3 linked regions of the Coturnix japonica genome follow. The protein of the gene in region 1 interacts with the protein of each later gene in a pairwise test. Links are inferred from orthologs where the notes say so. Each region holds a gene or a part of one and is shown on either strand. Other genes may lie near its edges.

Region 1 (4,044 bases):
GGGAGCAGCCCTGGGCTCTAACCTCTCGTGCAATGTATTTGTGGATCCGTGTACGCGTCTGTCCGACTATCCAAAGCTTAGCCAAGAAATAAATGTAACGTTATATTTGAAAGACAAAGCTATATTATATATTTTTTAAATACAGAAGTGGAAAAAAAGAAAAAACCCAACAGAGATGTAAACCTCCTCCCCTTCCTAAGCCCCTTCTCTCGTTTCCGCTGTCCTGTACTGCAGTGGATGTAATAAACGTCGCTGGGTCTGTGTCTGCTTCGCTGGAGACGGCCTTGGGCATCTGCCCTGGGGTGGATATGGAGGGTATGGGGGGGACATGGGGACAAGGAGAGGCACTGGGGGCAGGGGCACGTTCCCCAACCCTGGTCCATGTGCTGAGAGCTGGGTGACATGGGATGGTGCTGCACCAGTAGCTCCCGTGGGTTCTTTTTATGGGGCTGAAGGGGAACCTCCAGCATTTCCTTTGAGTCCCCTCACCTCTTCCAGGCTCGGCTGTGGGGAGGCTGCACCAACATGTGCCCCTGGGTGCTGGAACAGCAGTGAGGACATCAGAGGTCGGGGATGGAGTGGTCCATGGACGACTTCATCTGTCCTGGTGACAACCTGCACGTGGGGAAAGGGGTCAGGGGGAGCCCCAGGGTCCCCTGGGGGCACTATGGGGGGTTGTTGATAGGAGACAGGGAATAGGGGGAGCACGGATCTCACCGTTTCACCATGTGCTCATAGATGACAGCGGGGATGATGGTCAGAGTGATGACGTTCCCTGCTCCCGCCAGCACCTCCATCAGCTGCTTATCCTGTGGAAGGAGGGGTAAACATGAAACGCTGTGACACAGCCCCACTTTGCATCCAGGGCGACTTGGGGTTCCCTGCACCTCCCAAAGCAGCCGTACCCACATGGCTCCAAGTCCACAGTCTGCACCCAAAAACCCTGTGCCAACTGCAGGGCTGCCCTCAGTTGTGCCATGGGGACAGGAGCAGGTGACACAACTGTGCCCATACCTTCATGCCGATGACGTTCTGACCATTGACCTCACAGATGTAGTGGTGTGTCAGGAGCCCATTGCGGGCAGCAGAGCTGTCCTTGGCCAGAGACACGATCTTCCCCTTCTTCACCACGACACCCACGTGCCCAGTGCTGTCCTTATGCACAGTGACAGTGCGCTGGAATGGCCTATGGGGACAGCGGGGTCAGAGCCAGCCCCACACACAGCAGCACTGCACAGCACCCACCCAGCACCGCTCACCTGTCCCTCACCACCATGACGATCTTCTCCGGGGACGCCTTCTTCAGTGCCCGCTGTGCCTTGTCACTGCTCCAGCCTGCACAATTCTTGCCATCAATCTGCAGGATCTGGTCACCAAAGCGCAGCCCCACCAGCGCCGCCGGAGAGTTGGACTTCACCAGCTGCACGAAGATCCCCTGGGGACACAGCGAGGCTGAGCTTTGTGCCATGCACTATGTGCCATGCACTATGTGCCATGCAATATGGGCCATGCAATATGGGCCATGCAATATGGGCCATGCAATATGGGCCATGCAGTGGCACACCTCGCCCTGCCTCCCACCAGCCCAGCCCTCACCTGGTCGACATTCTTCAGCTGCAGCCCCGTCTTTCCCCGCTCATCCTTGCAGAGGTGGATCTCCCGCACACCTGGTTTGATCTCTGCCCGCCGCAGCCCCGCACTGTTCCCACTCAGTGGGGCAACCAGCTGCCCCGGCTGGGGTCCGATGGGGGTCAGCGCCTGTAATGGAGCCAGGGATCAGCAGGGACATAGGGTCACACATCAGCCCTCAAGGGACAATGAGTCCCTTCCCCAGGCAGGATGCGGTTATGGGAGGGGTCCCCCAGCCCTCAACCTACAGTGCTGCTTTCTGGGAAGAGGTTTTTCTGGATCTCTTCGCTGGAGAGCGCCAGCCCCATGTAATCCTCCAGCTCAGCCAGGTTGGGGTACAGTGCAGGTGGTGCTGAGGGCACTACAGATACAGAGAGAGACCCATGGGATGAGCCGAGAAACCCCCACACCCCACCCCCTACCCATGCACTGAGCTGCTGGGGGCCTCAGCTGAGCCCCCACCATGTGGACACCCCCACATCCCCACCCCAAACAGCCCCTCGGCACCACACCCCACATTACCGGTGCTGGAGGTGACCTTTGGCTTCTCCGGGAGCTTCGGCTTCTCGGTGAGCACCGTGGTGGCAGGGGTGCTGATCCCAGCAGCCGCCTGAGCCTGGGGGAGATGGGGTTTGTTTGAGGTACAGCCCCTGCCTTGGGATCACCATGGGCACCCAATGGGTCTGATCGCCCCCATAGCGCTGATGAGCAGACACTGACCTGCAGGACCTGGTGGCCCTTCATGTCCTCCAGCGAAGGGTAGAGCGTTGCCATCGCTGTTGCTGAGGGATGGGATGAAGATGGGATGAGGGCAGGGTCAGGGCTTTTTAAGGCAGGGTGCTGTGCCCCAAACACCCCTCAGGGACCCACAGGGCTGGGCTTGCTGTAATCCTGGCTCTGTGTCCCAGGCATCACCTGCAGCCTGGGACGTGACTCAGGGCTGTGTCACCGAGGCCACCACCTCCATCACTTCCCAGGAGCTGGGGCACGTGCTGGGCACGAGCATAAGCACGAGCATCCCAGCAGCTGCCCTGCTCCAGGTGTGATGTGACGGCTACCTCAGGCACCCATGGAGGCTCTTCTAGCTTCCCCAAACTCATCTGGGGGATGTCCCCATGGGTGATGGGCAAATGTCCCCATAGGCAAAACCTCTCTGTCGCTGCTTCCTGCTGCCCTTAGGCCCTGCCAGCCCCCTCCACCCCATACCTGCATGGCTCTGTGCCTCAAAAAGCATCACTCAAACATCAACGCCCACCTCCAGCCTCTGCTCCAAGCACCACTAGAGCCAGGAAGGATCCTGCCTGGTAGCAGCATCCTGAGGTGGGGGGGATGATCCCACAAACCCAGTCTCACCCCCCAGCCCAGCTCCCTCCAGACTCACCTGCAGAGATTTCCAGCTCCTATGCGCTGCCCTTCACTTGGCCCTGTGCTTTTATAGCAGCGCCCATCCCCAGGGAGGGGCCCAGTGGCCTCAGCTGACAATCACCTCCCTGTGCCAGGTGGAGCATGGGGGAGGAAGAGGAAGGTGAAGGCAAAGCAGCTGGGCTGGCCCCGGGGAGGAGCACACAGCAGTGGGGATGGGGGCATGGATGGGGTCAGTAATAGAGATAGGGACATGGATGGGAACACAAACAGGGATAGGGACTGATTTCCATGGCTCTGAGCATCCTGTGAGCCACAGGGATGAGGCCATGGATCTCCAGGGTGGCCTCCACCCTTCCCATCCACACAACCCCCAGGTGCCACCATCACAGTGCTCAGTGTCACTGCAGCCCCAACCAGGGGCCACCACAGCCCCCTGCCCAGCGCAGGGTGGGCACAGCGGGTGCCCTCAGCCCCATGTGGGTGTCTGTCCTCCGTGACACCTCTCTGCGTGGGGCTGACGTTGCCACATCCCGCATCCATTCGTGATGGCCCCGTGGGAAAACTGAGTCAGGGCTGCAGGTGAAGGGTGTCAGCCCAGCACTGAGCCACACATCCCAACCTGTGTGATGCCATCAGACCCTGTGTCCCCACACATGCTGGTTCTGTGGGTGCATGTGGCACAAGGCCAGCCCTGATGCAGGGCATGGCTCAGCCCTGTGTGCCAGCAGGAAGCAATCTATTTTACCAGTGTTATTTTTAGCCTGCAGTGCCCAGCTGCCCTGGAATGCAATGGGAGCAGCAGACAGATGATAAGCACAGCTGAGAGCGAGCACCTGGTCTGCCCTGGAAGGATGGCACCCATAGCAGCGGGGCTGCACCAGCCTCATGGGTAAGGAGTTGGGTGGGCTCAAGCACAGAGAGAACACAGACAGCACTGGGACTTTGCTGCCCACTGCAAACAGCACGTGCAGCCATGCACACACACACTGCATGCCCTACACCTGCACACAGATGCTGCCATGAGCACACAGACCCTGCTCACGCACACGT
Region 2 (4,214 bases), on another chromosome or scaffold:
GGGAGGGGTGAGTGAAAAGGAATGAGAGGTGCTTGCCGTGTGAACAGCCAGTCGTATAGGCCTGGCAAGGTTACGCATTGGGCCATGATGGAAAATGATGAGATTCTTGAGGGGAGAGGTTCATTTGTATGTGGGGCACAGCTGGAAGGATGTGGGGAGGTGGGATAATTTCAGGTGGGGAACGTCACAGATGGGCTGGATCTTTGGACGGGAAGGAAACTGCTGTATTCCCTGTTTGAGAGCTTTTCTAACCTTTCCTCATCTGAGATTGTGTGAAGCCAGAGGCTAATGGACAGTGCAAGCACAGGCTGGAATGGAGGAGGAGAGATGGACGGAACAGAGGAAATGGGAGGGGAGGACTCAAGCGGAGGACCCATTTTCTGTCTTCTGCCTCTTTGGATCCACTTCATCCTGAGTATGACAAAGAGAAGGAAAATAAAGTTACCAGCAATCGCTGCACCAGCATATCCAATTCTTACTGCTGCTCTTTCCTCCACGCCAAAATCCACTTAGCCACCCTAAATCCATTCCTCTTGGAAGTACTTTGAGTGTCTGATGACTGCTTTGTTGACAATGGTTAAGACACGGACAGTTTCTTTTGCAGCAGCATCTGCACTGCTGCATTCAGGAGGGCAGAGCAAGCACAGGCTTACACCACTTCACACAGACCCTGAGACCTGGCCTGCAGCCCAGATATTACATGTTTTAAAGCAGGGTCATCACCCCGCACTTTGGCTGGCCCCGGATCCCACCAAAAACCCATGAAGCTTTATGGTTCCTTTGCCACATCAGGTTTGTTTACTCATCTGCTGCTGAAACAGCAATGAGATGCAAAGATGAACTAAGAAACTCAGCAGCAGCAGCATCCTCATGGACTTCATCTGCACACAGTGTGGTCATCTTGTTCCTTCTCACTGCCCTCACCCACACACCACTCACCTCCTCCTCCTCTGCAGATCGTTTTTCTGCATGGCCGTCCTGCTCTTGCCCGTTCTCATCTCCTTCTAAGCACAAGCAAGAGCAGAAATTACAAGTTAATTAAAGTAGCACTTAAGGAAATAAATCTCACAGTCAAAGAGCACGGAGAAGGAACTTCCCCTTATTGTTTATTTCCCCCAAATCTGCCCTTCCTGCAAACCCCCCATTCTTCCTATACTAATCATACCCACCATCATCCTCATCACCACCTTCTTCTTCATCCACATCCTCAGGATTCTCTTCCTCATCCTCTTCAGCTCCATTCTCCTCATCCTAAGCAAAACAAATCAGAGCAGAAACTTATTGTCAGGATGATGTCCCCACATGCTCTTTGCTGCAAGAGCGAGAACATCCCTGCCACCCCAGCCTCCAGCTGCAAGCACACACCAAGCAAGCGATCTCTGCACTGCTACTCGGCCCCTGTCCCTCCCACATCAGCTGTCCCACGCTGCCAAACCCTCCTCCCCTCTTGCCTCCTTGACACAACCAAACGCCCTGTTCCCTCCTCACCGCCGTGAACCTGTGACATGCATGAATTCGTATCACCACACGCTGCTGCCACCTAATTCCAACAACAGAAACATCTTTCTGGTTACAAGCTAACAACAGCTGGTGTCCATCTACTCCAGACCAATCTGTGCATCTCCTTGCGGCTCCCTCAGCCCGAGCTCCTCAAGCACTGGGGATACCCGAGGAGATGCAGCGCCGCATCCCCTTGCTGCCACCTCCTGACTTCCATCTGCCCTGTCTCCGATCTCCTCTTTGATCCTCCCGCTCATAGCACTCACTACACCGAGTTCAAGCCTCGTTCTCTACTATTACCCTTAGTCTCGTCCATCTGCCACCCTCCCTCCGAAGCCTCGCTGCTCACTTCTCTTCCTCTGCCTCCCTTCACTCTCACTTCCCGCAGCGACTTGAGCCGACGACCCTTCCCGAAGCCTTCGAAGGGCTCACTCCACACCTCACCTCTACTATCTCCTTCTTCTTTTCTTTGTGGACCGCTTTCTCCTCTAGTTTCTCCTTCTTCTCCTTCATTTCCTATACGCAAGATGGGGAAAAAAAAACACAACAAAACATGGCAGCGCTCAGCGGCCAGAAACGGAGCGGTGTGAGACAAAGAGGGCTCGGGACAGGAGGGGCGGACGGCACACGGCGGGCAGCCCGTCTCTCGCCATCAGGCAGAGCAACCCGGCTGGAGGCACGCCTCGGGGCCGGGCAGGGCGGCTCCGGTCCAGGGGGCGGCCCTCTAGCGCCGAGCCTCCCGCCCCCGGCCTCCTCCCGCCGTTGCGGGGCGGCAGGTTGTCGGCGCGGCTCCGTCCGTCCCGCTGCCCCCTTTGTGCTCCGGTTCGGTCGGCTGGCCGCTTTTTGAGCCGCCCCTAGAGCACAGCGGAGCCGCCCCTAGAGCACAGCGGAGCCCCCGCGCCGCTCCGCCCCCCCCTTCCCGCCACCCCGCCGAGCGGGATCCCGCGCGCGGGCCCCTGCGCCCCCCGCCCCCGCTGCCCATTGGCGGAGGGGCCGCGCGCCCCCCTGGCGGCCGGGCGGTCGGGGCCGTGGGAGGGGGCGGCCGGTGCCGGGCTCACCTTGGCGCTCAGCTCCGCCGGAGCCTCCTCGACGCGTTTCTCCGACATCGTGGCACGGGCAGCGCGGGGCGGCGGGGACACCCCGAGGAGGAGAGAGAAGGGGGGGGCGGAGGGAAGGTCGGCACGAGGCGGGAGCTCCGAGTCCCAGCGGTCCGGCCGCACGGATCCCGCCCCGGGGCCAAAGTGCCTGGGTCCGCCGCGATGGGGGATACGGCGGCGGAGGGGATTTATACCGCGCCGGGTGACGAGGGAAGGAGGGACCTGGCGAAGGGAGGGGAGAGGGCGGAGGAGGGAGGGAGGGAGGGAGGGAGGCGGAGGGCGGCCGTCGGCGGAGCGGGCCCCGAGAACAATGTGCGGGCGGCGCGGAGCGCGGCCAGTCCGCCTGGCTGCGGGCACACGGCCGGACACGGGGCGGACGGTGGGGGGACGGCGCGGCGGTGCCTGAGGGCCGGGCCGCACTAACAGAGCCCAGAGGTGCGAGGGAGGAGCCGCCCCAGCACGGGGCAGCACGGCGGGGCAGCGTCTGTCGGGCAGCGTGGGCACGGCCCGGCTCGTGCCGCTCCCGCCTGGAATTTTCCACTGTGCTGCCGCCCTCCCCCTGGAAGCGCTGCCAGCCCCGGCTCCTCCCCGCCGCGTCCCGCCGCCACGGGGCCCCAACGCACGGTGGGGGTGGGGCGGGAGGGAAGGAGGGAGGCTGTTTTTCCCGCGCTGTGCGGGCTGGGGGCGGGGCCGGGCGCAGCGCCGCGCGCAAAGCGGGGGGGGAGGGGCGGGCGGCGAGTCCCGCTTCCCCATATAAGGAGGGACAGAGGGCGGCCGTGCGATTGGGCCATTCAAATGAGAGGTTTGCCTGGCAACAGGCTTCCTATTGGTTCTCGGGGGGAGGCTCCGCGCGGGGGAGGGGGCGCTGTAAGAAGAGGGGAGGGCACGTGGGGATACGGGCGCGGCGCGACGACGGCGATGCCGCCATCCGCACGGCGCGGTGATGGCGGGTATCGGGAGCCGTGCAACAGCGCCACCTGCCGGGCAGTGTGGGTAACGCTGTGCTGAGAGCAGAGAGAGGGAATTTCTGGAGCTGAGCTCAAAAACAGGAGGAAAAAAGAAGTTGGTGGATGTTGTCATGGTGTGCTGCTCCTTGGTAGAGATGTGTGACTCACTGCTGTGCTGTGCTGTGCACCAATCCAGCATTTCTGGCTTTATCTTTCCTCAACTGCTGCGCACGCAAAGCTGCTCCATCACATGCTGTACCATAGACCTATCCGTGCTAATACACCAGCAGGCCTCAACGCGAGGTCCTTGAGGAGAAAAAGCAAAGACTATATTTGGTGATGATACTGTTGCCCAAAGAGTCGTGTTGACACAGGCAACGCCCTCAGATGCAAATACACAAGCGGCTGTTTATGAGAGGAAAGTATGTTTCCAACCACCTGTGAAAGGGGCCATTGGGTTCGGTCTGTGACCTCTTCCTTCCCCCTGTGGGTGCTCCAGTTCTCAGGGCTCACAGTATCACAGAATGACCCGGGTTGGAAGGGACTTCAAGGATCATGTAGTTCCAACCCCCCTGCCTGGCAGGGCCACCAAACATACACCTTTACTAGATCAGGCTGCCCAGGGCCCCGTCCAACCTGGTCTTGAACACCTCCAAGGACGGGGCATCCA
Region 3 (4,063 bases), on another chromosome or scaffold:
GTTTCAGTACTCCCATTTATGTTCCTGTTCCAGTTGAAACAGCCAATGAGGTCAAATCAGATCACTCTGACAGAGGTCAGCACCTATGCTCTTCATAGCAAGATAACAGAGCTCTTCCATAACTCACATCCTGGTAGCACTGATGACCTATGGTCAAAACATCCAGCTACAAGAGGCGTGCTTTCAGGTTCTCAGGGTCAATACCCAACTTAGTGGGAGGAACACAAAGCTGAGAACACCCAATAATCTAACGCTCTGTTTGAACCATTGTGTACTTAACAGTGGACCTTTACCACCTGTAAGTACAGTCTAACACAAAACTAAGCAGAAGTTAAAGAACTGCTTCTATTTAGCCCCATGCAAACCTAGTAGGATATGAACATATGAAATTGAGCTACTCAGGAATCAGCATTTCACTACAAAATGTCTCCAACTATTTTAACGTCAGCTTAGCGTGCTTTATTTTTTGCTTCAGATGCATCTGTGGAATCTGATGTATGTACCCCACCCAGCTCACACAATGGTTTTAAAACTGAACAAGTATCACAGAGAAGAAACAACAACAGAAAACAATCTTGGGCACCACCTTTCCTGCTCTCACACCACATTACCTCTTCATCAATAAGCTGAACATTCTGCCAGTCTTACCTTTGTTGCAGCAGTAGTTGCTTTTCTTTTTCTTTGAGAATTTTTGCTAATTGAGCTGTCCTTGAAGGTCTGTGCAGGTATTTTCTCTTCCCTTTGCATTCGTACGTCCAATGTCCAAACTCTAAACATTTCTGACATCTGACGTGCTGCTTGTTTGCCTCCCTATAAAAATGCAGAATTGCTTAAGTGACCGATGCCATGTCTGTCTGTTCTACCTAGTGAAAGAATATGAATTTTCTTTAGCATACAGAGTCTACACAATACACATCATTATGTTTAAAGCAGACTGATGTCCACGAGTGCTTTAGCTTATAAAACTGGAATCAGAACAAGAACAGTAACATCAAATACACACAGAACTTTGGCAAACGTGCTATTGCAGTTACCAAGCTATTCTCACACCAACTATTTAGGGAAAAAGAAAGATGCTTTTCCTCTGTTCCAGAGCTTCAGCTTAAGCCTGTTCTGGCTAAAGCAGAAGATGCTGAACTATGACAATGGCTGTCAGTACAGTGATCAACTGCACCCAAATTTCTTTTCTCACCTGTCCACACTTCTGGAAGCCCAGCCTGCACTCTTCAGTTTCACACCCTTGTAATTATCACCCGAGTGTCACACACTTCCAAATTCACTCAAAGCACCCAGGATGTGAGCAAGCAAAACAGCTGCTCCCAGCTGCAGCTTATCTGAATTGCCCTAAGATCTATTAAGCCTGGCAGAAGGTTTATTGTAACAGTGATCGGATTCCTGTTCAATTTCTGCAGCATAAATCAACCCGAACTATACCGGAATGAAACATCAGAACTATAAGTGAGCGTTTTACACTTGCATTTCAATCTCTAAACTTAAATTTCATCACTTTTAGCAGAAAACTGAGAAAAAATTACATATTCAGTCTTTAGCACTTGCTCCATGATTCTGAAGCTGTTTATTTATAAGAACGGCTGCTTTTGTATCTCCTCACAGATACACTCCTACTTTACAAATAAGGAGGCTCACAGAGCACTCAAGTGACTCACTCAAGGCCATATCATAAATTACTTCTAGAGCCAGTGAACTTCATGAGAACTGCTCTAACTTATTTCTGCTCTTGTATCATGTTTTCAACACTAAATTACTTGTTTTTCAAGGCCAGGACACCCAAAACAAGGCCTGCAGAATGGTCAGCTTTGTCTTGCCTGGGACTTCTGGCTCTGCCACCACAGTCACACATAAGCGGAACGAGGAATCCCTGTCTGTTCCACCAACAGAGATGGTGTAACTAGCCAGCCCAGACCTGTCTACACGGGAAGAGAAGTTCAAAGCAACTGTAACACATCTCCTTATTTCCAGGGCTTTCATAAGGCTCACACGACTAGGGCAGAGAATCCTATGCAAGCTAAAATAAGATCAAGCCCTAAAAGAAATGTAATTACCAGGAAACAGATCAAAAGAGCCCAGCAGCTACAAGGCTATAAATACCAGCTCAACACCAACACGTGCAAGTGTTAATGAAAAGCATGAGATCAGGGTAATCATTTAACACAGATCGACGAGCACTGCCTAAAAGCAAAGATAGGCAGATATACGAGTCAGTATAAATCAGTATAAGCATATGAAGACTTCAGAAGTGTTAAAATCAAGGAATGATTTCTTACAACTTAAAAGAGCAGTACTGCAAAATTGCTTTGAAATTCCCAGTTACTTTCTTGTGGAAAACAGGAGATAAGTTACGGTACACAGTGACAAAGGGATGGGGGTGCAGAGCAGGGGTTGGCAACTGGACCCTTCAGGTCTGAGAACTGCCTGGAAGCAGCATCATTTACCAGTGCAGAACAACCTCCCCCGGCTGCAACATCGCCACAGCCGCTCTCCTCACAGACCGCCGCCCCACCAGGCGCGGACACCCGTCCTTGGCCGCCCTCCTCCCGCTCGCTCGGTTCCCTCGGCCCAGCCGTTCCCCCGCCCCGTCCCGTCCCGTCCCGTCCCGTCCCGCCGCACTCACGCCTGTCTCCGAGCGATGAGGCGGTGCATGGGAGTCGCCATCTTCGCGGCCGGGAAGTGAGGCGCGCCGCGCTGCATGCCGGGCTAATGCTGCACAACCAGGGGGAGGAGCGGCCGCACGGAGAGGAAGGAAGGAAGGAAGGAAGGAAGGAAGGAAGTCCTCCACAGAGCACAGGGGCGCCCTGCAGCACGGAGGCGCGCTACGCGGCCCGTCTCTTCTGCTCCGCCGTTGCTATGGCGGCGATGGGCGCGGGACGTTGGTGCGGCCGTTGGAGGCGGCGGGTGCGGAGCGGGACGGCGCGTTCGAGGAGCTTCGCTTTAACTCGTCGAAGTGAATAAACTAACGCAACCAGCTCTGCAGCCTCACAGCAGCACGGAGGGCAGGATGTCTCTTCGAACGCTACAAAGAAGCGCTGGGAAGGGCCGGATTCCAGTCAGGAAGCACTCCTCCAGTGCTGCAGCCATCCACTGCCCTGTTAGCTTTAATGCTTTATTTGCCCCACACTATCAGTAAGGTATAACTCCTCAGTAGCTGAAAGGCTCGTTTCTGCTACAGGTACATTGTGCTCAGTAACCCACGGACCATCACCAGCTTTGCAGGCACTGAGGGACCCAACGCGTTCTGTGCTGGATCGTGAGGAGACACAGTTCAGATAAACACAGGAATCCAAAGGCAAATCCATTCCTCCATGTCACTAAGCCCGAGACCCGAAGATCCCCATGGATGCCAGCAGCTCCTCGTGTTCTCAGCCCTCCATCACCTCGCAGGCTGTGGGGCAGGAGAGGTCAAAGGACAGAAGGAGGCAGCAGCCTAATGACAGCACAGGCAGCGCTGCTGCTGGCACCAGTACAGTTGCCCTCACACTGAGCACAGGAAAGCAGTGTGGCTTCATCTGTTTGCCGTATCAAAAGCCATTGCTATCTCATTTAAAATATCTTAAATCTCATTACAAAAACCTCAAGAAAATACACTTTTTAATGCTGGCTATGTATTAATCCTGCTGGCAGTACTTTCTATCCAGCTGTTCTCAGTATTACTCTGAAATGCCCCGTCACAGAGGCAACTAGTGGACAATAAGCAGATATTCCACTATACTTCTACATGTATCTGAGTGCATGAGATCTTATGGATTCTTAGTAGGTTAGTAGTGGCTACAATGTCGGTATTATCTCTGGTACATTATGAATGTGGTAGAGTTTGGACTCAGTACTGGAACCTTCGTGTCTGGCATCTCACTTTTAATGGAGAAAGTCTGACAGAAGCATTTCCTATTTTAGGACTGAGCTATTTTTAATAATCCATGCTTTATAATAAATGCCCAGTCGTTTTTTATTTCACTATCACTTAAAATCTTGGAGTGTATTGCACACTAATAGCACTATCTGCTCTCTGCTTAACAACATGGGCTGCTCCTGGCACTGTGCTGTGGAT

What was found. The genes of interacting proteins can lie anywhere in the genome.
Region 2: the proteins of SDCBP2 (region 1) and PTMS interact in a two-hybrid assay, tested with the Homo sapiens proteins (2 studies listed by BioGRID and IntAct). The two-hybrid records come from large-scale screens. The link is inferred for Coturnix japonica from reciprocal best matches to the Homo sapiens genes SDCBP2 and PTMS.
Region 3: the proteins of SDCBP2 (region 1) and ZCCHC10 interact in binary tests that used the Homo sapiens proteins (3 or more experiments, as listed by UniProt). The two-hybrid records come from large-scale screens. The link is inferred for Coturnix japonica from reciprocal best matches to the Homo sapiens genes SDCBP2 and ZCCHC10.

Annotation. Positions count from the first base shown.
Region 1 is NC_029535.1:9,197,305-9,201,348, forward strand, and holds SDCBP2 (syntenin-2), read right to left. Parts: upstream 2,801-4,044; 5' UTR 2,404-2,800; coding exon 2,350-2,403; intron 2,246-2,349; coding exon 2,152-2,245; intron 1,991-2,151; coding exon 1,878-1,990; intron 1,759-1,877; coding exon 1,597-1,758; intron 1,436-1,596; coding exon 1,260-1,435; intron 1,187-1,259; coding exon 1,015-1,186; intron 810-1,014; coding exon 718-809; intron 616-717; coding exon 561-615; 3' UTR 106-560; downstream 1-105.
Region 2 is NC_029516.1:69,482,623-69,486,836, reverse strand, and holds the start of PTMS (parathymosin), read right to left. Parts: upstream 2,801-4,214; 5' UTR 2,607-2,800; coding exon 2,559-2,606; intron 2,017-2,558; coding exon 1,945-2,016; intron 1,252-1,944; coding exon 1,170-1,251; intron 1,005-1,169; coding exon 940-1,004; intron 412-939; coding exon 361-411; 3' UTR 1-360.
Region 3 is NC_029528.1:1,095,457-1,099,519, reverse strand, and holds the start of ZCCHC10 (zinc finger CCHC domain-containing protein 10), read right to left. Parts: upstream 2,801-4,063; 5' UTR 2,710-2,800; coding exon 2,633-2,709; intron 811-2,632; coding exon 649-810; intron 1-648.